Xenopus tropicalis: one gene and its partners. The protein of the gene in region 1 interacts with the protein of each later gene in a pairwise test. Links are inferred from orthologs where the notes say so. Each region holds a gene or a part of one and is shown in the gene's direction. Other genes may lie near its edges.

Evidence for each region.
Region 2: the proteins of tle5 (region 1) and cib3 interact in binary tests that used the Homo sapiens proteins (3 or more experiments, as listed by UniProt). The two-hybrid records come from large-scale screens. The link is inferred for Xenopus tropicalis from reciprocal best matches to the Homo sapiens genes TLE5 and CIB3.
Region 3: the proteins of tle5 (region 1) and mtus2 interact in binary tests that used the Homo sapiens proteins (3 or more experiments, as listed by UniProt). The two-hybrid records come from large-scale screens. The link is inferred for Xenopus tropicalis from reciprocal best matches to the Homo sapiens genes TLE5 and MTUS2.
Region 4: the proteins of tle5 (region 1) and u2af2 interact in binary tests that used the Homo sapiens proteins (3 or more experiments, as listed by UniProt). The two-hybrid records come from large-scale screens. The link is inferred for Xenopus tropicalis from reciprocal best matches to the Homo sapiens genes TLE5 and U2AF2.
Region 5: the proteins of tle5 (region 1) and nab2 interact in binary tests that used the Homo sapiens proteins (3 or more experiments, as listed by UniProt). The two-hybrid records come from large-scale screens. The link is inferred for Xenopus tropicalis from reciprocal best matches to the Homo sapiens genes TLE5 and NAB2.
Region 6: the proteins of tle5 (region 1) and golga2 interact in binary tests that used the Homo sapiens proteins (3 or more experiments, as listed by UniProt). The two-hybrid records come from large-scale screens. The link is inferred for Xenopus tropicalis from reciprocal best matches to the Homo sapiens genes TLE5 and GOLGA2.
Region 7: the proteins of tle5 (region 1) and mlx interact in binary tests that used the Homo sapiens proteins (3 or more experiments, as listed by UniProt). The two-hybrid records come from large-scale screens. The link is inferred for Xenopus tropicalis from reciprocal best matches to the Homo sapiens genes TLE5 and MLX.

Annotation. Positions count from the first base shown.
Region 1 is NC_030677.2:114,608,411-114,611,910, reverse strand, and holds part of tle5 (amino-terminal enhancer of split), read left to right. Parts: intron 1-603; coding exon 604-666; intron 667-3,145; coding exon 3,146-3,220; intron 3,221-3,500. UniProt on the Homo sapiens protein: Transcriptional corepressor. Acts as a dominant repressor towards other family members. Inhibits NF-kappa-B-regulated gene expression. May be required for the initiation and maintenance of the differentiated state.
Region 2 is NC_030677.2:104,261,276-104,265,242, forward strand, and holds the start of cib3 (calcium and integrin-binding family member 3), read left to right. Parts: upstream 1-1,167; 5' UTR 1,168-1,455; coding exon 1,456-1,506; intron 1,507-3,967. UniProt on the Homo sapiens protein: Acts a an auxiliary subunit of the sensory mechanoelectrical transduction (MET) channel in hair cells. Plays a role in regulating hair cell MET channel localization and function.
Region 3 is NC_030678.2:154,747,922-154,751,991, reverse strand, and holds the start of mtus2 (microtubule-associated tumor suppressor candidate 2), read left to right. Parts: upstream 1-1,270; 5' UTR 1,271-1,588; intron 1,589-4,070. UniProt on the Homo sapiens protein: Binds microtubules. Together with MAPRE1 may target the microtubule depolymerase KIF2C to the plus-end of microtubules. May regulate the dynamics of microtubules at their growing distal tip.
Region 4 is NC_030683.2:104,041,734-104,045,907, forward strand, and holds the start of u2af2 (splicing factor U2AF 65 kDa subunit), read left to right. Parts: upstream 1-1,374; 5' UTR 1,375-1,389; coding exon 1,390-1,438; intron 1,439-4,174. UniProt on the Homo sapiens protein: Plays a role in pre-mRNA splicing and 3'-end processing. By recruiting PRPF19 and the PRP19C/Prp19 complex/NTC/Nineteen complex to the RNA polymerase II C-terminal domain (CTD), and thereby pre-mRNA, may couple transcription to splicing.
Region 5 is NC_030678.2:139,231,720-139,235,723, forward strand, and holds the start of nab2 (NGFI-A-binding protein 2), read left to right. Parts: upstream 1-1,204; 5' UTR 1,205-1,559; coding exon 1,560-1,612; intron 1,613-4,004. UniProt on the Homo sapiens protein: Acts as a transcriptional repressor for zinc finger transcription factors EGR1 and EGR2. Isoform 2 lacks repression ability.
Region 6 is NC_030684.2:22,913,211-22,916,710, reverse strand, and holds part of golga2 (golgin subfamily A member 2), read left to right. Parts: intron 1-1,565; coding exon 1,566-1,653; intron 1,654-1,768; coding exon 1,769-2,115; intron 2,116-3,113; coding exon 3,114-3,227; intron 3,228-3,318; coding exon 3,319-3,500. UniProt on the Homo sapiens protein: Peripheral membrane component of the cis-Golgi stack that acts as a membrane skeleton that maintains the structure of the Golgi apparatus, and as a vesicle thether that facilitates vesicle fusion to the Golgi membrane.
Region 7 is NC_030686.2:6,137,877-6,141,078, reverse strand, and holds the end of mlx (max-like protein X), read left to right. Parts: intron 1-347; coding exon 348-447; intron 448-1,650; coding exon 1,651-1,852; intron 1,853-2,205; coding exon 2,206-2,262; 3' UTR 2,263-2,702; downstream 2,703-3,202. UniProt on the Homo sapiens protein: Transcription regulator. Forms a sequence-specific DNA-binding protein complex with MAD1, MAD4, MNT, WBSCR14 and MLXIP which recognizes the core sequence 5'-CACGTG-3'. The TCFL4-MAD1, TCFL4-MAD4, TCFL4-WBSCR14 complexes are transcriptional repressors.

The DNA of each region.
Region 1 (3,500 bases):
GGGCCCTCTAATCCACATTTTACTGTGTAACCCTTGTTTGTTAAATTATTGTAAGATCCCTGTTTGTTATAAATTAATGTGAAGTGCTGCATAACTCGCTATATAAATGATGACCGATAATGATATTATTATGACAGTCACAACAACATTGTGAAGGAGGGTGTTGTTTATACAGAGCTTGGTGCCCTCTAGTTAAACTAATTCAGCTAATTAATGGCAAGGTTGTAAGTGTGAAAGCAAACTTCCATCACTGCTTTGTAATAAAAAATAACTTTTACTCATGTTGAAAAAAAATATTTTATAGGCATGTACTACCTCTTAGTTGTCAGGACTTGGACTGGTGTACCAGGTAATGCTGCCTTGTGCACTCTAAAATATCTCTTTTCCCAATTCTTGTCTTCCTAGACAAAAAAGTGACGGTGTAAGCCTTTACTTCAGGCCTTCGGATTTTACTTAAACTTGTTACTGCATCTCACTCTCATAAAACACTCAATAATCCCACAGGCATTCAAACATAATGGAGAGCACTATATAGAAGTCATAATTCCAAACTTATAGCTGCATTTTCCCAATAATTTTTTTTCTCCTTTTTTTCCAACTTAGGCTGAAATAGTGAAGCGTTTAAATGGAATCTGTGCACAGGTGTTGCCTTATCTCTCACAGGAGGTAAGTTCCCAATATACTGAAAGTTACCTTCTGACTGAGAAAAGTATTTCTTCTGCCTAACCATTAGGATTATACCACTTTAGTATGCATTGCTGTGCCATTGCTTTCTTATGTATTCCACAATACAGAAATGCAAGAGTTAATAAAGCCCATTATTTTCTGTAGAGCTTCTATTTATGGGGTCCCACCAAACTGCCAAATGGAGGTGCCATGCTCCCTGCTTATTTACTGTAATACTTCATCCTAAGCATTCTGAAGCATTGCAGGGTACCAGCGTTTGTCAGTACTGAGCATGTGAGCCAGGCCAACTGGTAATATGCCGTTTCCTCTATTGGGGGAGGTGCCAGTTCAGGGGGATTTCAGAATGTAATGTTTCGGGCCTTTGTCTTCAGTGGCATAGGACTGCTAGCTCTGGGAAGCAGCCTTATGTTAATTAAAGTAATGTTTATGAAGGTTTTAGTTGCCTTTGAACACATTAGAATCTTCTATATTGTTTGTCTTGGCTGTAGTAATTTCTGGAAATCAAATAAAAAAAAAATCTATCTGGTTTCCATAAACAGATTGTTCTATTCTTGTTTATCAGGAGTGCCCCAGAGCTTGTCTCACAACTTGGTGTTTCTCACATATAAATGCCAATCCTTGAGAAATAAAATGATCATTGAACACACTAAGCCACCCTTGATTCTGATGTCTGGGGCAAGTGGGAAATCTTCCTTTAAAAAAAAAAATTAAGAACTGTAGCCCACAGCTTTAGATATTCATTCCCCTTGCTAAGGGGTAGCAGTAATACAATGTCTTCCCCTTTCCTTAATGGTAAATCCAAGCATAGTTACTCTGCCAGGGGCAAAGTCAAGGAATTCACAATCGCCTCATCCCATAATTGTTTTTAATTTCTGAGGATGCAGAAAACTATAGCTCAGCTATTTGCAATCAGCTTTTCAAATAAAACCATTGACATTAGTACAGAGAAACAAATCTAAGTGTTGGCTATTTCTATTTGGGCTATATTTTGATGACAATTGATAATTGAGTTATGAAAATTCCATAAAGAATTGAAAGAAACTCCACAGAAATGTAAGAAGCGCAAGGGTAGCCATAAGGATACTTTGACACACTTGCCAGTGAAATGCTGGCTAATTAGTGTCTTTTTATTCTATAGATATTTGCATTTAGATAGCAGGGAATATGTCTGCTTTGTAATGCCTCCGAATAGCCTTCATTCAGTGTATTTACTTATGGAAATGAAGACTGTTCTAGCCACAGGATAAATGCAGTCAGAGGCAGACTGAACATATGGTTATTAGCATGCCCTGTATCACTTCTTACATGTGATGTGGAATTATATACTGCAGCAGGGTAGAAGGCCCTACATTCTGAGATTTATTTAATATTTAAAGCTGTGTAAAATGATTTTACATTGGAAAAATAGTATATTTATAAAGCTGTATATTTCTTGTTATACAGATATGGGACCTTTTATCCAGAATGCTCAGGACCTGGGGTTTTCCCGATAAGGGGTCTTTCGTGATTTTGGATCACCATACATTGAGTCTACTAAAAAATCATTTAAACATAAACCCAATAGGATTGGTTTTGCCTTCAGAAAGGATTAATTATATCTTTCTTGGGATCAAGTAAAAGATACTGTTTTAATATTATAGAGAAAAGGGAATTTAAAAAAAAAAAAAAAAAAGTCTGAATTATTTAATTAAAATGGAAATTCAAAGCTTTCTGGATAACGGGTGGAAATCAGGCTTATTGGGTCTATTTAATGTCAGTGGTGGAAACAGACCATGCAGTTATCGGTGGGGGCAGGCGGGCCCAAACTAGAGGATCTACTTCATCTGTAGCTATAGAGATTTCCCTGAGAGCAGGCAGGGAGTGAGAGACACATATGGGAGGGAAGCGATGGGGGGGTACAGGTTTGGCAGGTACAGGTTGGGGTGAGCGCCAAGCCCATCCAAAAAACTTATTGCAGGGGGGCTTGGTGCCATGTAGTTATGCCACTGTTTAATATTCTCTTTTTAAGCGAAATAAAGGTATGGTTTACCAAATTACAGAAAACCCCAGCTACCAAGCATTCCTGATAATAGATCCTATACCTGTACATTAAAGGCAGCAACCAAAAAGGGCAGTTTTGTGACATATGCCTGTGCCACATATATTTGACTCCAAAATGTAGATGTCTGATTTTATCAGCACAGAATATTCAGTTTCCTTAGATTTTATTGCGGAGAACAATGGTTTAGGGGGGCTTAAGAAAAAAAGCAATGGTTGGCCAGATCTAGAAAAAGTAGCAGCAATATGGGGAATCTTTGGCTGTACTTGATTTGCTAGGTGACAAATCTCCCTAGAACAGTATTGGCTGAAAGCAGTGACAAAGCAAGCTTTATGTACAGATGCTGTTAAAAACTACTTTGCTGGCAAGAGTTACTTATGACTGCCTCATACTAATTCTGACCCTTTGATCTTTCCTAAGCACCAGCAGCAAGTCCTGGGAGCCATTGAGCGAGCAAAGCAAGTGACTGCTCCAGAGCTGAACTCCATCATCCGTGTACGTGAGAACACTTTTGGCATGCCCTTATTCATAAACAATGGAGAGCAGGTTGCGGAGGTGGGGCAGTGGAAAAGACAGATTCCATTCCATAGTTGACCGTACTCCTGAGTCACTAGTGCCAGAGGCAATGAACATGTGGTTATTTATTCAGGGACCAGCTCATGTAATCCATATAGTGTTGCAAACATTCTTTTGCATTCAGGATGTACGGTTGTTTATTATTGGTATGAATGGAACTTTACCTATCAATTTTTTTTTCTTCCTTAATATGGGAGAT
Region 2 (3,967 bases), about 10 Mb from region 1:
TTTTTTTGTCTGGAGTAGATATGCCAGTAGAGAAAAGGCTGATCTGCTCAAAACTGCCCTGGTGCAAATATGCATCTTGACAATTATATACTGTGCTGCTAACATACTTTATTTTGCTTAGTTTATATTTTCTGGGATGTGGTGTAGGGTGTTATTCTGTTTGAGAGTTTATTATGGATTGCAGTCAGTGTTGAGCCTAAAGAAATTGCAATTGGGCCCCCATCTGCAATGCACCCCACTAAATGAGCACCCTACCTGCCATCCCTATAGCGATAATGCATGCTGCTGGGCCCTGTGGGACAGGCCCTGCTGCATTTATACCCCCTGCCCCAGCTGTAGTCACACCACTAATTCCAGCATGGCTTTTACTGAAATAAGTTCACTGTATTCAAGTGGACTGTGATTCTAACCTGGAGGGGCAGATTTATGATTGTGCAAGCCTTTTTTCCCCTGAAGCCCTGTGTGAGTTCCTTAACCCACATGGGGCTTTTTATGATTGCTGGAGCCGAAAGGCTTGAGCAATCATAAATCTGCCCCATAGTATTCAGACAAACTAAATCTCACCCCTTAAAATAGCAGTTCAGTGTAAAAATGAAACTGGGTAAAATAGATAGATTGCGCAAAATAAAAAATGTTTTCAACATAGTTCGGAAAAAATGTAATCTTTAAAGGCAACCAATCAGTAATTTGATGGGGGAGTTGCATATGGGACATAACTGTTTAGTTAATTAGTTGAATCTGACCAGCGTGCTCACAAACTAACTGAACAGTTTACTGTCCCATGTGCCCCCCCCTAAAGTCATTGACTAACTAAGAAGTTAGAGAGCTAAAAGGAGGAAGTAGTGTTCTGGCTATTATGTTAGACATCTATTGACTCCAGCCTTTATAGATTACATTTTTGTCTAACTAACAATATTAGAAATATTTTTTATCCATTTTACCCAGTATATTCAGTCAAACCTAAAGATAAATTATGTGGTGCATCCCTACTGGGTATAGCAATGTAGGAGACAAATTGCCTCTGAAACTGCTTTTAGACATGTACCAGCCCCTAAATGCTTTGACAAACATATTTTTTTCCAGTAGTACTTTCTCTTCATGTGTCACTGAACTTGAAAAAGGCAATGTCCTCCTTTAGCAATAGTCATGTTAGATGGTGTAATATGAGTTTATGTTGGACATGCAACAGATGGTGTAATTATAGTACTTTATGCGTATGCTCCTGAATGATGGTGGAAGCCTTATGCGCATGAGTTCTTTATACACATCAAAGATTTGATGAAATGCTCCTATTATGATCCTGAAAAGTAGGAAGAATAAGATAGTGACATCCGATCTTTCCCTGTGCCTGACCCCTGCTGTTGCGGCTTTTAATATCTCAATATTCAGGGACAGTATAAAAACAGAACAACAGAAGAATGGTAAGGGGATTTGGATTAGGAGCTCCCTAAAGTCATGGGGAATAAGCAAACTATTTTCACTGCTGAACAGCTTGATACATACCAAGTAAGTTTCTTACTCTTACTTTCTAAAACTAGAAGGTTTTTGTTTCATGTGTTTGGTAACTTAAGTATTAGTTCTTGCATAAGGCAAAGGTTTTCCTTAGATGCTAAATGGCGCTATTTATATATATAAACCAAGATTTATCTATTTTCCAATAGTAATTTTTTTTATGTATTTTAAATGCCACACCACAACAGAGAGACTGTGATATATCATTGTTAATATTTATATTAAATATTGTTTTTTTCCCATCTTTATACATTAATCAGACATGTTCACAAGTGTACTATAAAGATTCAAGTCCACTTGTGATTTTCTAGGTTAGAAAATGGTATATACAGTGCTTAGCATTTAAGTAGCAGCTCCATCATTTTAGGATTTTTAAAAATATACTATTCTTTATTTTTATAACCTCAACATATTCCTGCCGCACTTTACAGAGTTTGTTATTTATTTACATATGCTCCATTGCAGTTTTTCAAAGGAAAAGTTGAAAGCATCAGTATACCAGCTTTAGGTTTCTTGTCCCTGTTTTACAAAAAACTGAAATATTGAAAGCTGGCATAATTCAAGTATAGCCTTAGAAGACCAAAACACTGCATACCTACATGTAAAACCTATGTATCATTTTAGGCTGATTACACATGGAGCATTTTCTTAGCGAACATAGTTCAGCCAGCAGAGAAGTGCCCAAACTGCCCTAGGTGCATTCCATTATTTGTAATAATGACCCCCTGACACTGCCAATACTGGAGGTTTTTTAACCTAAAATGCTCTAGGGTGCATTTTAAGAATGAAAATGGCCAGTACTAGAGTAGGTGGGAGATTTCTCAGTAGGCAGAAATATGGATATAAAGCACTCTGTTTGCCAAGAGCCTTAAAAATCACTCATTTATACTTTTGCTAAATGGAGCCGTAGATTAGAACTCAAATATGTGCTGTATAGATATATCTTATTGGATAGAAAAACTACTTTAGGACAAAAAATGATTGAAGTGTAACGATTACAACAACAAAAATTACTATTTCTTCAATAGGGATGGCAGTTTAGAATGTTAAAAATACAGGGGGTTGTGGTAGCACTCCAAGTCCAATTATCGAACAGATAAAGTGTAAGGGAAGTGTTACTGATCTGACCAATGCTGCTCAGTACTATTTTCATTATACTTTGATCACAGCCCCCTGTATCTATATATTTCAGTGGAGTTATTTTGCAAGAACGAAGACCTAATTTGCAGGTGGTTGTAGCACCCCACCCAGTATGTAAAAGGCAGTCTTAAAATTTTCATTGTTTGGCCAAAAATCAATTCTTTAAAAACACAAATGCATTTACAAAGAATAAATTTCTAGTAAAACATAAAGACCAGGGAATATATATTAATCAATTCCTTTATTAGAATCTAGTCTGCATGAAGTCAATAATTAAGTGATTTCCAACATAACTAGATATGCATTGTTGAAAATGCTAGTCATCCACTGATTAGGTAGCAAATATAAAGGGCAAAGTAAGATTTACATGCAAACCTAGTTAAGTAATTCTGATTTCACATTACAATACTATGCTAGTCCTGTGGCCTGGTTTTCTTGGTTTCTGATACCCCTTCAATTCGTATACCCATTACAGTCACAAAGTCTTACCTCATTCAGTCTTGAGACCTAACCTAATATAATGAACCTTCCTGATCATGTCCTCTAGGCTTGCCTCTAAAGGGTAAACCCTTTCCTGGTACAGTTCTGGTCTTTTGCCTAACCCAGTCATTCAGCCTTACCTTTATGATTTCTAAAGCTTTATTGGTTTCAGCCCAGTAAGTAGCCTTACCTTGCCTTTTGCAGTCCTTCGGCACTTGTAGCTTCATCTTTTACACCCCTATGGTCCTGCCAGTCCTTCAGCCTTCAGTCCCTATCTGCTTTCCAGAGCCTTATCTGTTCCATTTCTGTAACCTTATTTGTTTCACTCCTGCTGTCTTAGCCATTTCAGTCCTGCAACCTTAAAGGGGACCTAGTTGAGTAAAATAAACTTGATTTACACTGTATGAATTATTTAAATGTTGTTTTTTTCAGTCTTGGAATTGACAATCATAGCAGGTAGGCAGGCACTATTTTGTGGGTACTGTTATTATAGAGATACTGACACCAGAAATGCAACCTTTTTTTATATTTATCATAACATTGTCTTTGCATGCTATTTATAATGTTGTACAGCTTTTTATGTCTGGGTGACATGACCCCTTTAACCCTGTAGCCTTACCTATCCTGGTCCTATTAGTTTCAGCCCTGCAACCTAAACTCAATTTCAGTTAAATAAGCAACCTGTTTAGGGCATGTTATTTTGTCTGTGAAGTCATGAAGCCTTACTTTTTCCAGTTCAGTGGTTATGCATATTCCAATCAACCTGCATTTCCAGTTACATAGCCTTACCCAGTACTGTTGTCTCTTTACAGTTCCATGGTACAGTCTCTTTAGA
Region 3 (4,070 bases), on another chromosome or scaffold:
TATTGGTGGAAATCCTATTGGGTTTATTTAAAGTTTAAATGATTTTCAGCAGACTTAAAGGAGAAGGAAAGGTAAAAACTAAGTAAGCTTTATCAGAAAAGTCTATGTAAATACAGCCATAAGCACTTACAGTAATGCTGCACTGAATTCTCTGTCAAAAGATTTCTCGAGTCTGTAATTAATGAGAGACACGCAGCTCTCTGCTCTCTCCCCTCTCCTGCTTCCCCCTCCCTCAAGAATGCTAAGAACTCACTCCCACCGAACTCACTCTGTATAACAGATCCTATGCCTATACTAAGTGTCGAATCCACAACCCATGCAGGGGCCCCTGCAGCAGCCCCCACAACACCTGCAGGGGGCGCCACCTGCCCAACCCCCCTCCACCGAGCACCCATTAATTAAGCTTAACTTCAGCGCATTGGGGGAGGGAAATAACTGGACTAGGGGTGCTCCGGTGGGGATTGGGTCTGGGCCGGCAGGGCCCACTGGCTCAGTCCGACACTGCTTACACTAAACCCAAGAAGTAAGCATCCAGCACTCTACAGGACATGGGATGGATGTCATTCCAGGGTGTGACTATGACATCAGGGAGTAGGGTTATGATGTGGCAATCAGTGATTGGCTGATCATCACACCATTTAATTTGAAGTCCTGTCCAGATTTCCTAATTTAGTAGTTTTTACCCAAACAGTATCGGAAAACTGGGCTGCCTGGGTAAAAACTGGACAAGTGGCAACCCTACCCTACTTTACCTGTGTACCTTAAACAAAAACTTTAAAAGTTTTGGGCATCACATGTATAACATATGTTTATATAAAATATCTACACTTTGTAAACAAATGCTGGCAATTAGTATGTATGAATCCATTATAATAAAATAGCAATAGTATATACCCTGCTAATGCTCTGTCTCCTTGTCCTTAACTGACCCCATTATCCCAGTTTATTCCTAGCGCAGCTGCTAATAAGGTCGCCTCAGCAGCTACCTGGCAGCCATTTATTAACTGGGGACTGTTACCCTCACCAGACACATCCAATAAGTGTCAATATCGATGATATCTATAGAAGTGTGCAAGGATAGAGACTAAGGATACAGAGAGCAGCCACAATAAAAAGAAGAGATAAAGGAACAAATCTCTATCCTGACTCCATTCTCCCATCTGCTCTTTTCTGGTTGGTTTACCCGAGCGCAGTTCCCAGTAGGGCCAGCAGAGGGCGCCGCGGCTCCCCAATCGTAGTATAAACAGAGAGTGCTGATGCAGCCAGCGGATTCGCTCGGGATGAGCGAGGTTGGACCCGTCGCAGCTGCTTCTTTGCATCCTCAGGGTCGCTGGTCAGAGATACTGCAGGCTGTGGATGCGCTTAGGAGCGAACTCTCCCCTCTGTGACACTGCGTTAGATTGGGAGCAGGAGGGCAGCAGGGGAATAGCCCCAGCAGCAGCAGCCCCAGCAGCATCTCCCTGGAACCCTCCGGCGTGGGCTCTTTGTCTGTGCAGGGAAGGGGGCGCCTCCCCCCAAGGTAGAGATCCCCTCTCCGGAGCCCTCACCCACTGGCTGGGCACTATGCGTGGGAGCAGCACAGGAACAGGTAAGGGCATGAGTGGGAAGGGGAGGCAATTCCAGCATTTGCTTCAGTACTGGGGGCAACTACAGGGGCTGCAGTGCATACAGAGCATGAAGCATCCTCAGTCTGGCACAACATCCCTTTTACTTTTATACTGAGAAGTGGTACCTTGTACTTCAGCACCAACACCTAAACCTTAATGGGTTATGTATAAAGGTCCAGTCCCTGGGCCAGTACATCAGGCTATATAGTGTATTGGCTTAGTAAGATGAGGTGTTATTGTGGCCCCTTGATATTATGGTAAATGACTTCTGGGCAGAAGTGTGTTCCCTGCCTGTACCTTATATGTACAGCCCTATTCTATGTTTCACTTAGGGAGCCGGGGTCCCCCAGCTGTTATTAAATGATATGGACAGCACTCCCCTATTCATACAAGAATGGCTATGGCAAATAGCAGTGTAAGCACTTACCCTTTACACTGCCCTTAATAGTCACTTTTTTGAAACTTGAAGAGAGTTATATAAGTGTATAAATATTTGTGTACATTTGACTCCATATTGCAACATTGTTTACTATATATATATATATTTATAATATATATATATATATATATATATATATATATATATATACAGTATATATATATAGCAACATTGTTTGACTATATAGCAACATTGAGTGCAATTCTTATTGTATGTAAGTATAGTCCTAATTTACAAAAAAAGAGTTCTTAGATAAAAGGAAAGGGGAGAAGGTGATTATTTTTTGCATTTGGAAGTACTGAAGTGCGGAAGTACTGGAGTTGAGACAAATCCATAGTTTTATGTGGGAAGCTATTCAATAGGATTGACAAATCTACTCTTACATTTAATGGCTATCAGCATTTGCAGAGTTCTGTGATAAATAGACTCATCGATTACAGTGACACAAAGACTCATCTTGTTGGTTCTGTACTGTGAAATTAAAAGTTTCTGCATTCAGAAGGGAATGAGGAATACTTAGGGACAAGTTGGTTGTGCCGGAACTTGCATCAATGAAGTATCTCTTGTCACCAAGACAATACTGATAGTAATGCTTTCTGTTCAGTTTCACTTCCAGAGCCTACTGGAAGCTGTCATCTCCACTGCTACTATAGGCACCATCTCTCCCTACTATACCTGCTATCCCACAGCCACAGTCCCTTCCCAGAGGCTATTATCCCCCCACTGCTACTATAGGCACCATCTCTCCCTACTATACCTGCTATCTCACAGCCACAGTCCCTTCCCAGAGGCTATTATCCCCCACTGCTACTATAGGCACCATCTCTCCCTACTATACCTGCTATCCCACAGCCACAGTCCCTTCCCAGAAGCTATTATCCCCCCACTGCTACTATAGGCACCATCTCTCCCTACTATACCTGCTATCCCACAGCCACAGTCCCTTCCCAGAGGCTATTATCCCCCACTGCTACTATAGGCACCATCTCTCCCTACTATACCTGCTATCCCACAGCCACAGTCCTTTCCCCGAGGCTATTATCCCCTCACTGCTACTATAGGCACCATCTCTCCCTACTATACCTGCTATCCCACAGCCACAGTCTGTTCCCAGAGGCTATTATCCCCCCACTGCTACTATAGGCACCATCTCTCCCTACTATACCTGCTATCCCACAGCCACAGTCCCTTCCCAGAGGCTATTATCCCACTGCTACAATAGGCACCATCTCTCCCTACTATACCTGCTATCCCACAGCCACAGTCCCTTCCCAGAGGCTATTATCCCACTGCTACTATAGGCACCATCTCTCCCTACTATACCTGCTATCCCACAGCCCCAGTCCCTTCCCAGAGGCTATTATTAGTGATGGGCGAAAAGTTTCGCCAGGCATGGATTCGCGGCGAATTTCCGCGTTTCGCCATTGGCGGATTGTTTCGCGAAACGGATGAAAAATTTAACCACGGAAAAATTCGCCGCACGTCCAAAAATTGTCGCCGGCGTAAAAAAAGAATAGTCGCGGGCGACAAAATAATAGTCGCGGGCGACGAAACAATAGCGCGCGACAAAATAATAGCCACGGGCGACGAAACAAGAGCCGCGGGCGACGAAACAAGAGCCGCGGGCGACGAAACAAGAGCCGCGCGACGAAACACGAGCCGTGCGACGAAACAAGAGCCGCGGGCGACGAAACAAGAGCCGCGCGCGACGAAACAATAGCCGTGCGACAAAATAATAGCTGCGGGCGACTAAATAATAGCCGCGCGACAAAACAATAGCCGCGAGCGACGAAACAAGAGCCGCGCGACGAAACAAGAGCCGCAGGCGAAGAAACAAGAGCCGTGCGCGACGAAATAATAGCCGCGCGACAAAACAATAGCCGCGGGAGACGAAACAATAGCCGCGCGACAAAATAATAGCCGCGGGCGACAATTTTTTTTGTCGCACGACATTTTCGGCGTTTCGCGGATCTTTTCAAAGATTCGCGAATTTTTCGGCGAAGCGAAACGGAACAGATTCGCTC
Region 4 (4,174 bases), on another chromosome or scaffold:
GCAACTGGATTTCAACATTTAAAAATGGTATCAAAGAACAGATTATAGTGATTAGGGGTTTCTGTGATTTAACCCAGTCAGACTGATTTGACAGCTTATCTGCCTGTGTATGAGGCCCTCCGATGCATAATGTTGCTTTCCACCTGCGTTCAGCACTTACATCAACCTGTGTCAGTATAGGCCAGTAAAAAAGAATGGGCTGCCTAAAACACTACTTTTTCAGGCACATTCCTTCTATATGTATGTATATCTTTATTTATTTATAAAGCACTACTTATGTAAGCAGTGCTGTACAGTAGAATAGATTATTACAAATGGGGTTATTAAGATAATAATAAATACAAAGTATAACAATAAATACAAGGTACAGTTGAAAGAGTCAAAGACACAAGAGGACGGAGGTCCCTGCCCCGTAGAGCTTACAATCTATATGGGAGGGTAACTTACAGACACAAATCGGCAAATATAAGTGCTGTAGGTCACAGTGGGTAACATTACAATATAAGTGCTAGTCCCCAGATCAGGTGCTGGGTGAGTGCTCCAAAAGGTACTATCTTAGTTTAGTTTTAAAAAGACTGAGGGAGGATTCTCTCTGGATAATCTATATTTAGATTAGTATAATTATTTGGCATAATATTGTATATATTTTAAAGTAACATGTGACTATCCATCTCTGCAAGTTCCCTTTTCTTTCTTAATGCAACAAAACAGTATTTGGAGGAAGATAACACATTGCGGATCCCATAGCAAAGTGTATAAAACAGGAGAGGTACATCGCAGTACAACGCTCATATTGGCCCTGCACGTTGGGCTTCCTGAAAACACGTGTATTGCACCAATCAGGAGGAGGCTGTCCTTACAAATGAGAACACACCGTCAATATGTATTTACCGCCTACAAAGAGACATATGTACATGTTTTATTTATGTCCGTGTCTAATTTTAACAGGCCTCACGCTCAGCTAGCCATGCCACCTTAATTGCATCGATGTCTCCTTTTCTTCTAAACTTAAATGACCGGATTAACGTCGTCTTCCGCCGGCTCTATTTCATGTCCGTCCGAAACATATATGTTTGAATAAACCACGCCCCCCTACTTACGAAAATTGTCGAAGTTCCCGGAAGTCTTCTCGCTTCAGTAAAGCCCTTTTCAAAAGAAGCCGAGAAAATAGTAAGCTCCGCCCAATCATTTCCGGAAGCGGGCGAATCCTTAACAAGCCCCTGCCCCGCTACTTCCGGAAGCCGCCAAGCTGGTTGGTAAGCGTGTTGCGACTGCGTTGTCTCCTTCCTCCTCCCACTCCTTCCTCTGAGAACAAGAGCGCGAGAAGAGAGTGCAGGACTGGCGCTCGGACACGGCCTGCCGCCGCCATCACAATAAAGCGCGGCCATCATGTCTGACTTCGACGAGTTTGAGCGGCAGCTGAATGAAAATAAGCAAGGTAAGGTGAAACCCGGGAGCCGCCGGCCTGGGGCCGTATAATATGTGGCGTGGCGGGAGAAGAGGGAAATGTGCGCGGTTGAGGCCTAGATGGGGCGGAGTTTTTCTTTACGTAGCCCATTGGGTAGGCCCGAAGGTTCTGGTCCCGCTGGCGTGGGGCGGCCTGCCGCTTCTGCAACTCTGCCCTTTTATACCTTCCTTTATACCTTCCTTTATGCTGTGCGTTGCCATGGCCTCATTTGTTAAAATAATCCCGATTAAAAAACATATGATGATCGACCCAGCGACCTTACTTTGTATGGCTTTATTTGTGGCGCTATCGGGCTGAATCTCAATACACCCAATGAGACAGCGCCATTCACTGGCCAGTTTGTGTGAAACATTAAATAATAATTAAAATGGATCGTAGAATTTTTTCCCGTTCAAGCTTTATTTATTTTTATTTTTAAAGGTGCAAGCTATGGTCAGGGGCCACATACTAAGTTATAATACAGGGGAACATATATGGGGTATCAGCCATAGTCCAGAGGATATCTAGGGCAATAAATACTTGCTCATCCATAAACATCATAAACCTACAGGATGAGCTTATGGGAGAATCTTGAATAGCAAATAAGCATTCTCCCCAAATCTCTAACTGCCTTTAGTTTGAACCCCCAGCCCATGGCATAATGCCCCATAGTGCCCCCATAATGCAGTTAGCAATGTATTAGGCCTAGCTATTGGGCAGTCCTGTTCATCTACAAAGCAAGTTTTTTTTATTTTGCCATGACACCATTTTGTATTGCAACTAAGTATGATTGATTGGTTTCAGCTCATGGTGATAATGTATGAACTATGTTTCTAAGCACAGATGTACAGTGTATGGGGGGTTTAAATCAATGTTAAAAGAACAGTAACATCAAAATATGAAAGTGTTTTAAAGCAATTACAATATGATGCACTGTTACCCTGCACTGGTACAACTGGTGTGTTTGCCTCAGAAAGACTACTATAGTTTATATAAGCAAAGCAGCTGTGTAGCCATGGGGGCAGCCATTTGAATGAGAAAAGGCACAGGTTACTTAGCAGATAACAGATAAAATGCCATTGTATTCTACAGAGTTTATTTGTTATCTGCTATGTAACCTGTGCCTTTTCTCCTTTTTTCCAGCTTGAATGGCTGCCCCCATGGCTACACAGCAGCTTATTTATATAGACTATAGGAGCATTCTGTAGCAAATACACCAGTTTTACCAGTGCAGGGCAACAGTACATTACATTTTAATTACTTTAAAACACTTTCATATTTTGGTGTTACTGTTCCTTTAATGGACTTAACACAGTGATATAGGGTCAGACTAGGTCTGGTAAAGGGGTATTACAGGGATGCAAGTTGTACAGACCTTGTACCAAGCCTTTATCTGTACTATTGTTTGGATATAAAGGTCCAGTGCCTTTCACAATGTATGTTGGGGTATTAAACATACTGCAGTATTAAATATTTTATAAAATAATTTTAGCCGGTGATTTGGGGCTTAGTGTACCTTTCATTGGATCAAGTTCAGGGTTCTTAGATGCAGAGAGTTTAAAATCAAGGGCCTTTGTGTGTGTTTACAGGGGAATTCCAGCAGATATTCCTAGATATTAAAGCAACAGTTACATTAAACAATTAATTACATTATAATGTACTGTTGCCCTGCACTGGTAAAACCGATGATTGCTTCAGTAACACTACTATATATAAACACGCTCCTCTGTAGCCATAGGCACAGCCATTCAAGCTGAAAAAGGTAAAAGGCACATTGTTTGAATCCATGTCTAAGAGCTACATACACGTAGCTTATTTTATTTTTTAATGTTACTGTTCCTTTAAACTAAACCATTGGTGTGATATGTAAAGTTTCCTGACTTAAAAACTTTTATATATACACTAATATGACTAAATGTTTACTTTTGTAACAAACATAACCTGCCAACTTACAGCGCATACCTGGGCTAACCTGCAGCATGCAGCCATTTCACTGCTGTTTACTGATCTGGGGCGTCACTAGTGCATTCCAGTTTGGATGCATTATCCTCAAAATACAGATTGTATTTGCAGGAAAACTACACTATTCAGTGATTTCTCATCTGTTTGGGTAATTTGCAAACTTAAACCAAATCACTTTTTTACCCGTTTGATTACACAATCCTTTTAGCTCTTTTCCATGCTGTGATTGTAGCTTAAGGACTGTGACACAGGAGTATATTAGTCGGAGCGTGACAAATCTTCCTTGTTGCGGGCGACTAATCTCCCTGAAATGCCATCCCACCGGCTAGAATGTAAATCACTGGCGGGATGACTTACGTGTCAATCCTACGGTGCCTGTACCCTTAGTTGTAATTCATTGGTTTTAATGGAATAAGGGAATATTGGTAGGAGATCCAGTCATTTGGCGATCTCTCCCAACAAGAATATCTTACCATGTATGGCCACCTTAAGTCGTGTTAGAATCTGATAAAAAGTGGTATTGTACTGTACAGCGCTGCTTACATAAGTAGGGCTTTATAAATAAAGATATACATACATACAAGTGGTATTGCAATCTGTTATCAGCCTATTTCTTAGGGCTCTGGTACACGGGGAGATAAGTCGCCCACGAAAAATCTCCCCGATATGACATCCAACCGGCAAAAATATAAATCGCCGGTGGGATGGCATACGTGGCGGCACGGTCTACACAGATTTTTTTGTGAATTACCAGTTTAGCCCCCC
Region 5 (4,004 bases), on another chromosome or scaffold:
TGTCCAGCCGCAGGCCAACAGTTGGACAGCCCTGCTCTAGATCATCTGAGAGTTATGCAAAAGGCTGTTATACCAGGGTCAGACTGGGGTATGCAAGACCCACCAGGACTGCTACCCCAGGGGCCCCGCCACCTGCACGATCACCCACTGCCAGCCACTCCCCCCGCGTGCCATATACTTTTTTTGCCTCGATTGGGGGAGAATTTTGGTGTCCCACCGGCCCAGCCCAACCCTGTGTACTCTATTGTCATATATTTTTTCAACCTCACCTCCAATGTTAATATATGAAACGCAGATGAAACCCTATTCTAATTTATAGGGTAGCACACATATCATTTACATGCTAATTGTGTAGCAGAATTTCATATTTGTTTTACATGCATTACCTGTCTAAGGGCAGTGACACACAGGGAGATTAGTCGTCACGCGTCAAATCTTCATTGTCACGGGCGACTAATCTCCCCGCAATGCCATCTCACCGCCTAGAATGTAAATTGCCGGTGGGATGGCATACGCGGCATTGCGGAGGAGGATGGCATTGCGGGGAGATGTCGCCCACGACAATGGAGATTTGTCGCAGCGCGACTAATCTAACTGATAAAATCATATTAAAATCACAAAGAATGACCTTGCAATGCGCCCAGATTAAATTTTCAGAGTGAACTGCATAAGGGATGTGCTGCAGGGCAGTGTTCCAGACATGGGAGCATATACCTGGAATGAACGACCAGTGAGCTTCCAGAAGATGTTAAACTTTACCTTCCACCAGCAGCTACTGGAGGAGGATGAGAGTTGTAGTTTATCAGCAACCAGATCTCTTCAGAGGCTGCTAAAGGTTTTGTGCTGCCCATGCAAGTGCAGCCATACTGTACAGTTCTTTAATAAATGCCCCAAGTTCCAAACCATTATCTAAAATATCCAGTAAGATTATCTCACAGTTGGCTCCTCTCTATCTGCAGCAGCAAAGGAACTATGATATCATGCTGCCTCTCTTGTGCGGGGCTGTGGTGTGTGGGCAGTTCCAGCACAGAAATGGTTATAGGAGGACCAGTCTTGCCTCTGTATTGTATTGCTGTTGTGATGGAAGCTTTAATGTGGCCCTTCCCCCAGTCCTCCTACACAGACCCTGACACACAGAGAAAGTCTCTCGATGCAATGTGTATGTGGGTGGGAAACAGCAGTGAGTGCTCGCCAACCCCAGGCAGGGAAGAACTCCTCTAAATCAGTAAGTTAGAGACACAAAACAATAGTACTGACTGGAAAAGGCAGGAGCCAGGAACAGAGGTGAAGGACATAAGCTAAGAGATACGGGACAGATGTGTGAGACACTACATGAGAAGAGTGAGAGGCTGATTTGAAATATGGTCGGAACTGACTGAAACTGAAAATAAGCAATTAAATCCCAAGGCAAAGCCTGTTAAGAGCAGAGGCAGGAACAGGACAGGCCAATGAAAAAGCAACATCAATTAAACAACTGAATTGAGCTGTCACTTTCCTGGGGAAACTTTTGCTCAGACTCCTTGGTTATCCTGTGGCACATGCAGAAGAATTCCCTATACATGGCAGAGAGAGGTGCAAGAGCAGAAGAACTGAAACGACCGCCCAAAGCAAGGCACGTAAGTTAGCCAACAAATGGGTTAATATGGAATGGTCACGGTCATTGTGTCATTGCTTGATAACTTTAACAGTGTGGAATGCACTGTCAGTGGGTCCCAAACCTTTTTTTTCCAGTTGTGCTAACAGTCATGGTCATTTACAGTACGGGCAAGCAAGCACCCAGGGCTCTCAAGAGCATGAATTAGTAAACTTTGGACACTTAGATGTTGAAGAACTTCACCAGCATTCTTCCAATCAAACAACTGGAGGTGATGTTCTGCAATGTCTGAAGTGCCCAGGGTTGCATATTCCTGCACTGGATCTTTAACCAATCATTTTATAGGTCAGTCCTGGTCTGAGGTGAGAGTTCCTAGCACCTGTTTGTATATCCAAAAAAGTATGTAATGAAATGTGATGCTGGAGGTTTGAGAACTGCTGTGCTTAACTGATGTACGCTACATTGATGGGGGCATTTGCCATGTTTTGTACAGTAACTTGTATATACCAATGATACCAGCAATAGTGTAGAGGGGATTTCTTTTCTTTTTTATGTTGAAAATATAAATAAAAAGTTTCAGTGTGTGCTGAACCTATAGGGTCCTCTGTTAGAACTCAACCAGGACGCCCATTGAATGTTCTCCCCATACTTGTGTAGGTTTTCTCTGGGTGCTTTGGTTTCCTCCCACACCCCCAAAACATAAAGGCAGAATAATTGCTAACAGGTACCTAATTCTCTAAGCTCCATCGGACTGTTGAGAATGGTTAACAATCTCTTAACTGTCAAATGTGCTGCACCATATAGATAGTAGTCTAATAACCTGTAAATCCTATGGTGCTATTTCAAAGACCTGTTGTTTAATGTTCACAATGCTCATTGTGAATAAGTCATGGAAGGAGGTTGAGAAATGGGCTATTCAGACACAATTGTGAAAACATTTTTTGTATTACTTGTTTTTGTGCAAAAAAAGACTAATATGTTATATAAAAAGAGTAATACGTGTAAAATTGCTTCGTTAGTATATTGAGATCATCTTTTTCAATTCACAAGGGAGGATACCAGGGAAAGTTAGTACAGGTATAGGACCCATTATCCAGAATGCTCTGGACCAAGGGTATTCCGGATAAGGGGTCTTTCCGTAATTTGGATCTCCATACCTTAAGTCTGCTAAAGAATCAACAAAACAATAATTAAACCCTATGGGATTGTTTTGCATCCAATAAGGATTATTTATATCTTAGTTGGGATCAATTAAAAGGTACTGTTTTATTACTACAGAGAAAAAAGGAAATTAGTTTTAAAATTCTGAATTATTTGATTAAAATGGAGTCTATGGAAGACGGGCTTTCCGTAATTCGGAGCTTTCTGGATAACGGGTTTCCGGATAAGGGATCCCATACCTGTACAATGAATGTGTGACTATATTTGTGTTTGCTTGAAGAAGACTGGCACCTACAGAGCAATGGGAAGTAGTGGCATTAAGCTCAAACTCGGCAAAATGGACCAAAATAAATGCATTTTGCTCTAATTCTTGTTTGTAATAGAAGTAATTATTAAAGGTAACATTTACAGCACTTCTAGAACAACTTTATCAGAACAACTAAGATCATTACTAAAAGCACTCTGTCATAAATATGTAAAAGTAACTATCACCAGCGTATATAGGCCATGTACTCTTCCTTTCTCTGGCATCTGGATGTTGGATATGATCCAAGAAAAGACTGCATTACAGGTCTTCTGGTTATATCTCTTTCTGTGGATGCAATTAAAACATTTATATAGGGAATAATGTATCCCCTACTGTAAAATAAAATTATATAAGAATTCACTGAAGAACTCCATGACAATATAAAGCACAGGGTCTCAGTCTTAGTGCTTTTAGTGTATACAGGTATGGGATCTGAAACCCCATTATCCAGAAAGCTCCAAATTATGGGAAGGCCATCTCCCACAGAGACTATAATAAGCAAATAATTCAAATTTTTCAAAATGAAATCCTTTTTCTCTGTAAAATAAAACCCTTTTTCTCTGTAATAATAAAACAGTACCATGTACTTGATCATAACTACAATATCATTAATCCTTACTGGAGGCAAAACAACCCTATTGCGTTTAATTCATGTTTAAAATATTTTTTAGTAGAAAGATCCCTTATCTGGAAAAACCCAGGTCCAGAGCATTCTGGATAGCAGGTCCCATACCTGTACTGTTCAGGCAACTCCAAGTTGATTCCTTATAGCCTTAATTTAGAAACAAAGTTTCAGTGAGTCAGTTGGGCCTGATTCTAACTGATGACATCACTATACACTGTTTATAGGGCTATATTTTTACTCATTACTAGTGTATTATAAAGAAATAATGTCTCCTGCCAAATAAATGTAGTGATATCTCAATTGGCTCAGGTCTGTGT
Region 6 (3,500 bases), on another chromosome or scaffold:
GTGATATAATAAATAAATACAATAAACAAGTGCCCCGTAGAGCTTACAATCTAAGTGGTTGGGTAACATACAGGCACAAACTGGAAGGTAAGAGTGCACCAGGTATAAAAAATAATGTTTTAGTGCTCCAGAAGGTAACAGCTGAGTTTTTTCTTAAAGAGAGTGGGTGAGTGTTCCCTACGGAGGGATTCAGGGATAGAGTTCCAGAGGTAAGGAGCAGCGAGCTAGAAAGGTTTAAGACGAGAGAGCGCAGTGGATGTGGATGGTGTAAAAAGACGGAGGCTCTGAGAGGACCGGAGGAGACGACCAGGAACATGCAGGGAGACCAGTGAAGAAATGTTGTGAGGAGCAGAGGAGTGAAGGTCTTTGAATGTTAGTAGAAGGATTTTGTAAGCTATCCTTTGTTTAACAAGCAGCCATGCTAGAGAGCTTAAGTGAGGCTGAACAGGTTCCCTCTTCGGATAGAGCAGGAGGATCCTGGCAGCAGAGTTTAAAATTGATTGCAGGGTAGAGAGGTGGGAGTCTGGGAGGCCGGTTAGTAGGATATTGCAGTAATCTAAGTGGGAAAGGATAAGGGCATGTATTAGTGTTTTAGCTGTTACTTGTGAAAGAAAGGGGCGTATCTTGCAGGGCTGTGGAGTCGGTAGATAAATTCTCTGACTTTGACTCCGACTCCTCAGTTTCTGATACTTCCGACTCCGACTCCTCTGTTTTTAATATGCTAATGTATTTTATACATTCATTGAAGGAAAGGAAGGAGACATACATGTCATTTAACCACAGAACTACTGGCTAGGAAGCCAACACTCTACTGTATTGCCCAATTAAAGCAAAAGACAAACACAATGAAAACAACAAGGTTTTGTTTATTTTTTTTTTTAAACACGTGGCTGGATAGTAATAGCTGGCATAAAAATCAGGAACAGCAACTTTACCAGTTCAAAACAAACCACATTCTTTGGTAGTTTTAAGTTAAAACTAACTCAACGTGTCACTCAACGTGTTCGTTTATGCACTGCGTGCATTGGGCTTTATTCTTATAGCAGAGAAGTAATTAATTATGACTGTTTCTGAATTGGGACATTTAAACTTGCTTTATTTTATTTTTTTTTAATTCCCATTTAAATTTAGTAGGAGTCGGTTCATTTTTTGCCGACTCCCGACTCAAGGTACCCAAAATTGCCTTCGACTCCACAGCCCTGGTATCTTGGCAATATTGCGGAGGAAAAAACGGCAGGTTTTGGCAGTGTTATTTATATGGTTAGAGAAGGAGAGTGACTGGTCAAAGATAACCCCAAGGCAGCGTGCAGAATTTACAGGGTTGATGGTCATGCCATCAATAGCAATGGTGAAAGGAGGAGGAGGGCCAGGTTTGGGCGGGAAGACCATTAGCTCTGTAAAAGAGGGGAAAAACCTGCAACCCCAGAATTTTAAAAAAAAATGTGGGAACCCCACAAAAATACAATCTACCTTTTTAAGTAATAAACTCCTCTATGTAGAAATGTAAGTAATTTTAATATATGGAATCTGAAGCTGCAGTTAGAATGCTATTCTCTCATTTCCAGATCCAGACCTTGGGCCAAGAGAAACAGACAGCTCAGGTACAGGTAGAACAGTTGGAGACCAGGGTGACAGAGCTCCTGCTGGCATCAGGTATGTGCATGGAAGGAAACAAAGATGTCTTCACAATGAATATAGTCCCACACCAGCTTGGTGATGCTCTGCTTCACATGTTCCTTTGCCTTAATCCACTGCTTTGCTATTTCAGCTGCTGAACCAACAGACACTGAGCCCACACCCCCTGCCGGACCCTCTGAAACTGAACTGGCCCTCCACCAAGAGGTGGATCAGCTACAGCAGAATTTTAGTGATCTGCAGGCAAGGTATCAGGCCCAGGTGCAAGACAACAGTCAGCTGAGCCGGCTGAACCAGGAACAGGAAGAGCGGCTACTGGAACTGGAGAAGACGTTACAACGCCAGAGTGAAGAAAACGTAGACAAGCAGCAGATCCTGGAAAACATGCAGAGCGATAAAGCCACCATTAGCCGGGCACTGACCCAGAACAGGCAACTGAAGGAACATTTGGCCGAGCTCCAGAATGGATTTGTCAAACTGGTAGGCATGTCTCCCTATATGAGCTCTTATCGTCTCTTCTGTCTGAATTGCATCTTAAGGAAGCTATAAGATGTAGCAGAGCTGCTCATGGAGAGCAGCTGCTTCTCATTCTTGTCCTTTTTTTTCTCTCAAGTCTGAACCCGGAGTCTAAAGTTGGACAGAACAGCTGCATCAGCCTTATTGGTTTTAAAGGAGTGGTTCACCTTTGAGTAAACTTTTAGTATGTGATAGAATGTCCTATTCCTAGCAACACTGCATTTTTCGTTATTTATTTACTATATTCTTTCAAATAGGGGCCACTGACCTCGGCAGTTAAAAACTATAGCTCTGTGAGGCTACAGTTTTATTGTTATTGTGACTTTTTATTCCTTGTCTATTTATGAGGCCTTACCTGGTTGCTAGGGTAAATAACACCCTAACAACCAGATATTCACTGAACTGGAAAGCTGCTGGTAACTATTTAACAAGTTAAATAGCCAAAAAAACCATACAAAATCAAGACCAATTGCAGAATATCAATATCTACATCATCAAACTAAAAGTTTATTTAAAGGTGAACTACCCCATTAAGGGGCTGGGGGACAGGTCAGGTCCATTTAGTTATAACCTGCATACATAACATCAATAAGGAAATGAACATCACAGTGCAATGCATTGTGGGTTATGTAGTACCTGCATGCTGTCTGTAAGTTGTGGAGAAGTTGTTACAATTTGTGACATCAATGTTTTAGTCCCCCCTTTCCTGGCAGGATTTTAAATGATGCAGAAATAGGAACTGTTTGCATCTGGATTTCAGCATATAAAAATGGTATTTATTTATATAGGTTACAGTGATAGGTATATTAGGGGTTTCAGTGTTGTGTGGGGCTCTTTAAAACATTTTGGTACAGAAGCCAGAGTTCCGCTTTAGGTGTTTGCTTTGGACCTTCCATATATAACCCTGGTATGTCAATATATTGACTATGACTGATCCACTTACTATTCTGTAATTCTTTCAGACAAATGAAAACATGGAGCTCACCAATGCATTACAGAGTGAGCAGCATGTGAAAAAGGAGCTGGCCAAGAAGCTGGGGCAATTACAGGAGACCCTGGGCGATTTCAAAGAGCAGGTCAGCAATGGATGCAGTATCTATAAATGCTGTTTCATTGGGCTGTACATAGTGATACCAATTTGCTCTCTGTGTGTCCTTTCTTGACCAGCTGGCTGCAAAGGAGCAGGACATACAGATTCTGCAGAGTCAGCGAGATGAGGTCTCCGCTCACCTCCAGCAGTACAGTGCAGCATATCAGCAAGTCTCCATTGAGAAAGAGGAGATCCAGAGGCAGTATCTGCTGCAGGCTCAGCTGATGGACAGATTGCAGCACGAGGAGGTGCAGGGGAA
Region 7 (3,202 bases), on another chromosome or scaffold:
TAAGGCTCCGTTATTTTCAGCATGCGTTTACTTTTTTTTCTTGCTCATTTATTATTTATTACAAAAAAACCCCACACCCTATGCCGTGTATAGACTAATAGAGAATCAAGCCTTGATTTTTATATGATTAGAGCTGCCCATAGGCCAATGGGGGCAGGTTAGCGGGAGCGGGAAACATTTTATTTCCAGACAGTTCAGTAACGGTGTGGGTGTGTTGTACTGCGGTAAACTAAGGGGGAAAGAGGTGCAATTCATAAATGGGCAAAATAAGGGCAATAAAGCATGAAAGAATAGTAATGTGTGTTTTTTACTCAAGGGCATAATCCATTTTCCTGTCTTTCCTACAGCCATAGATTATATCCAGTTTCTCAATAAGGAGAAGAAGAAGCAGGAGGATGACGTGTCCACATTACGGAAGGAGGTCATGGCTTTGCAGATTATGAAATCGTAAGCTATCCATTGCTATTTGAATGCTTACGAAGGGGGGTGAATAAAATCTGTTTGTGGTTGGCTCACATTGTGCCCCCCTGTGCAACATGCGTGCAATGGAAAGGGCTTGTGCCTATTGTTTTAATCACAAAACATCTGTGGTTTTTGTCTTGAGCTAAACACGGAAACTGAAGCTCTTCCATGTTTGGTCTTTGTGAGGCAGATAATTAGATTACAACTTTACAGAGAATCCCTCTGCTTAAACTGGAGTAGAATCTATTTATATGCAGTTTCTACATACAGGACAAGGAAAGGAATAATTGTTTATATATGTCAGTTCTCGCCAGGACATGGGTAGGGTAAGAGGCTCTAACAGAAACCTATAATAAATGCCATAACGTTGAAGAGAAAGTCCAGTATCATGCAACTTCTATAACGGGGGTCCCCAACCCTTTTTACCAGTGAGCTACATTCAAATGTAAAAAAAAAAGACACAAGCACCGAGGGGTGCCAAATAAGGGCTGTGATTGGTTATTTGGTAGTCCCTATGTGGCCTGGCAGCCTAAAGGAGATTTTCTTTTATTAGTACATCTGTTGTTTTATGCCTCCAAGCCAGGAATTCAAAAATAAGCACCTGCTTTGGGGGCCACTGGGAGCAACATCCAAGGGGTTGGTGAGTAACATGTTGACTCCAAATGGAAACACAAGAAATAAGAAAGTCTATCTTCTAGACCAGTGGTCCCCAACCAGTGACCTCAAAGAAGGTGTTTATTTTAGAATTTCTGACTTAGATGTAAGTTTTGGTTAGGTGTACTGCCAAACAGTAGTAGCCTCCTGTAGGCTGCCAGTCCCCATAGGGGCTACTAAATAACCGATCACAGCCCTTATTTGGCACCCCAGGCGTATTGTGCAGGATTGTGTTTCTCTCCAACTCTTCTGTCATCTAAATGTGGCTCCTGGGGCAAAAAAATCATTGGGGATCCTCGTTCTAGACACAGAGCAGAAGTACCTCGGGCTGCAGTATGAACCAAATAAACCGCTCAATTCAGCCTGTACCAATTTCATAACCTGACAAATCTATATTCCATAAGTGCTTACGTGGGTCAGGCTGAACAACAAGCAATGAATATTCAGACCTATCCATCTGTAGCAGCAGTAAATAAACTATTTTAATATTATTCTATCATTTAATCTATTGATGATATATATCCCATGTTACAGAAATTACGAGCAGATCGTAAAGGCTCATCAAAACAATCTCCATGAGGGCACGGATCAAGTCCCGGACGAGATGAAATTCAGGGTGTTCCAAGGCATCATGGATTCTCTGTTTCACACCTTTAACTCTTCTGTTTCCGTGAACAGCTTTCAAGAGCTGTCTGCATGCGTATTTGCCTGGATAGAGGAGCACTGCAAGCCCCAGGTACGGCAAAGAGGTCTCGCTTTGGGTCTCTGTGCACTTGGGGCCCAATTCTGTGTTATGAGAACAAAATATATTTGTTCTCTAGGCACAGGCCCTTAGGTGCCTATATATTAATATGGCCCTAAAGACTGTAGATGAGGGATAATCCAGGGGGTGGGACTCAAGCGAGGAGCATTGGACACTAGCTAGTGTTTATAGGGAGAATCAATTGCATGGTCCGTTTGGGGGGCTATAGGCACCATAGGGGAATTTTCTGGAAGATTTCCATGCCAGTATGAGCACGAGATGCATTGCGCCAGGCTAACCAGCGCTGTTATTCTCTATATAATAAGCGTTTCCCTTTCTCTCCTCAGACGCTGCAAGACATCGTAATCAGATTCCTGCACCAGCTGAAGAACCCACTGTACTAAGGGACATAACTCTTTCCGTCTCTCCTGAGATAAAAGCCAAAGGAGTTGGCAGCGGTGCAGACGGCCCAGAAGCGACGCGCGAATGTGTCCGATGGTTCTGCGTTGCTCACTACTGCCAATTCTTACCAATGCCTCTGCTACTGATTGCGCCGCTGCGTGTCCTTGTGTAAATCCAGAACTATGGTGCCTGAGTGAGGCCATATTCAGCACATGTTGTACCGGCGCCTTCCGGATCCATTCTTGATCAGTGACAAAAGGGCCGAAGAAAGACTTGTTTTTTGCTTGTGACTTTATTGCAGTTTCCTTGAGTGGGGGGGGGGCTTCATTTCTATTCTTTTTTTCAGGTTTCGTGCTATAAATCAGCTTATTGAGTCTTAAAATCATTGACATTTTCCTTTAGTTCAGCACCTTTCCATTAAAATCAGAATGTTTAACCCAAACGTTTTGTGTGACTGGATATGTCCGTGTGCGGTTCTGTCAGTCTTACACAGGGTCGGACTGGGCCGGTGGGACACCGGGGGAAAAAACCCAGTGGGCCCTGCCGCCTCCACTGACCCAGCCCTCTCCTTCTTCTGCCCCTGCCGGGAACTGGACTTGCCCCGTTCAGTGCGCCTGAGCTCCCACCCTGATCGCGGAGGGGGGTGCTGTACGTGGACCTTCCTGTCTGGGGTGGGGAGGCAGCCCCAGTGGGCCCTTGACACCCCAGACCGTTCACCTTTAAAATAACTTTTAGTATGCTGTAGAGAGTAATATATTGAGAATTTGCAATTGGTCTTCATTTTTTATTGTGTAGTTTTTGAATTGTTTAGCTTTTTGTTCAGCAGCTCTCCGGTTTGGAATTTTAGGAGGTAAAAAGAACTGGTCCTTTTAAATATAAAACTTTTTCGAGTCTGTTCAATCCCATAGCTCTGCCTCTGTATAAGCACTAATGTTAGATTTA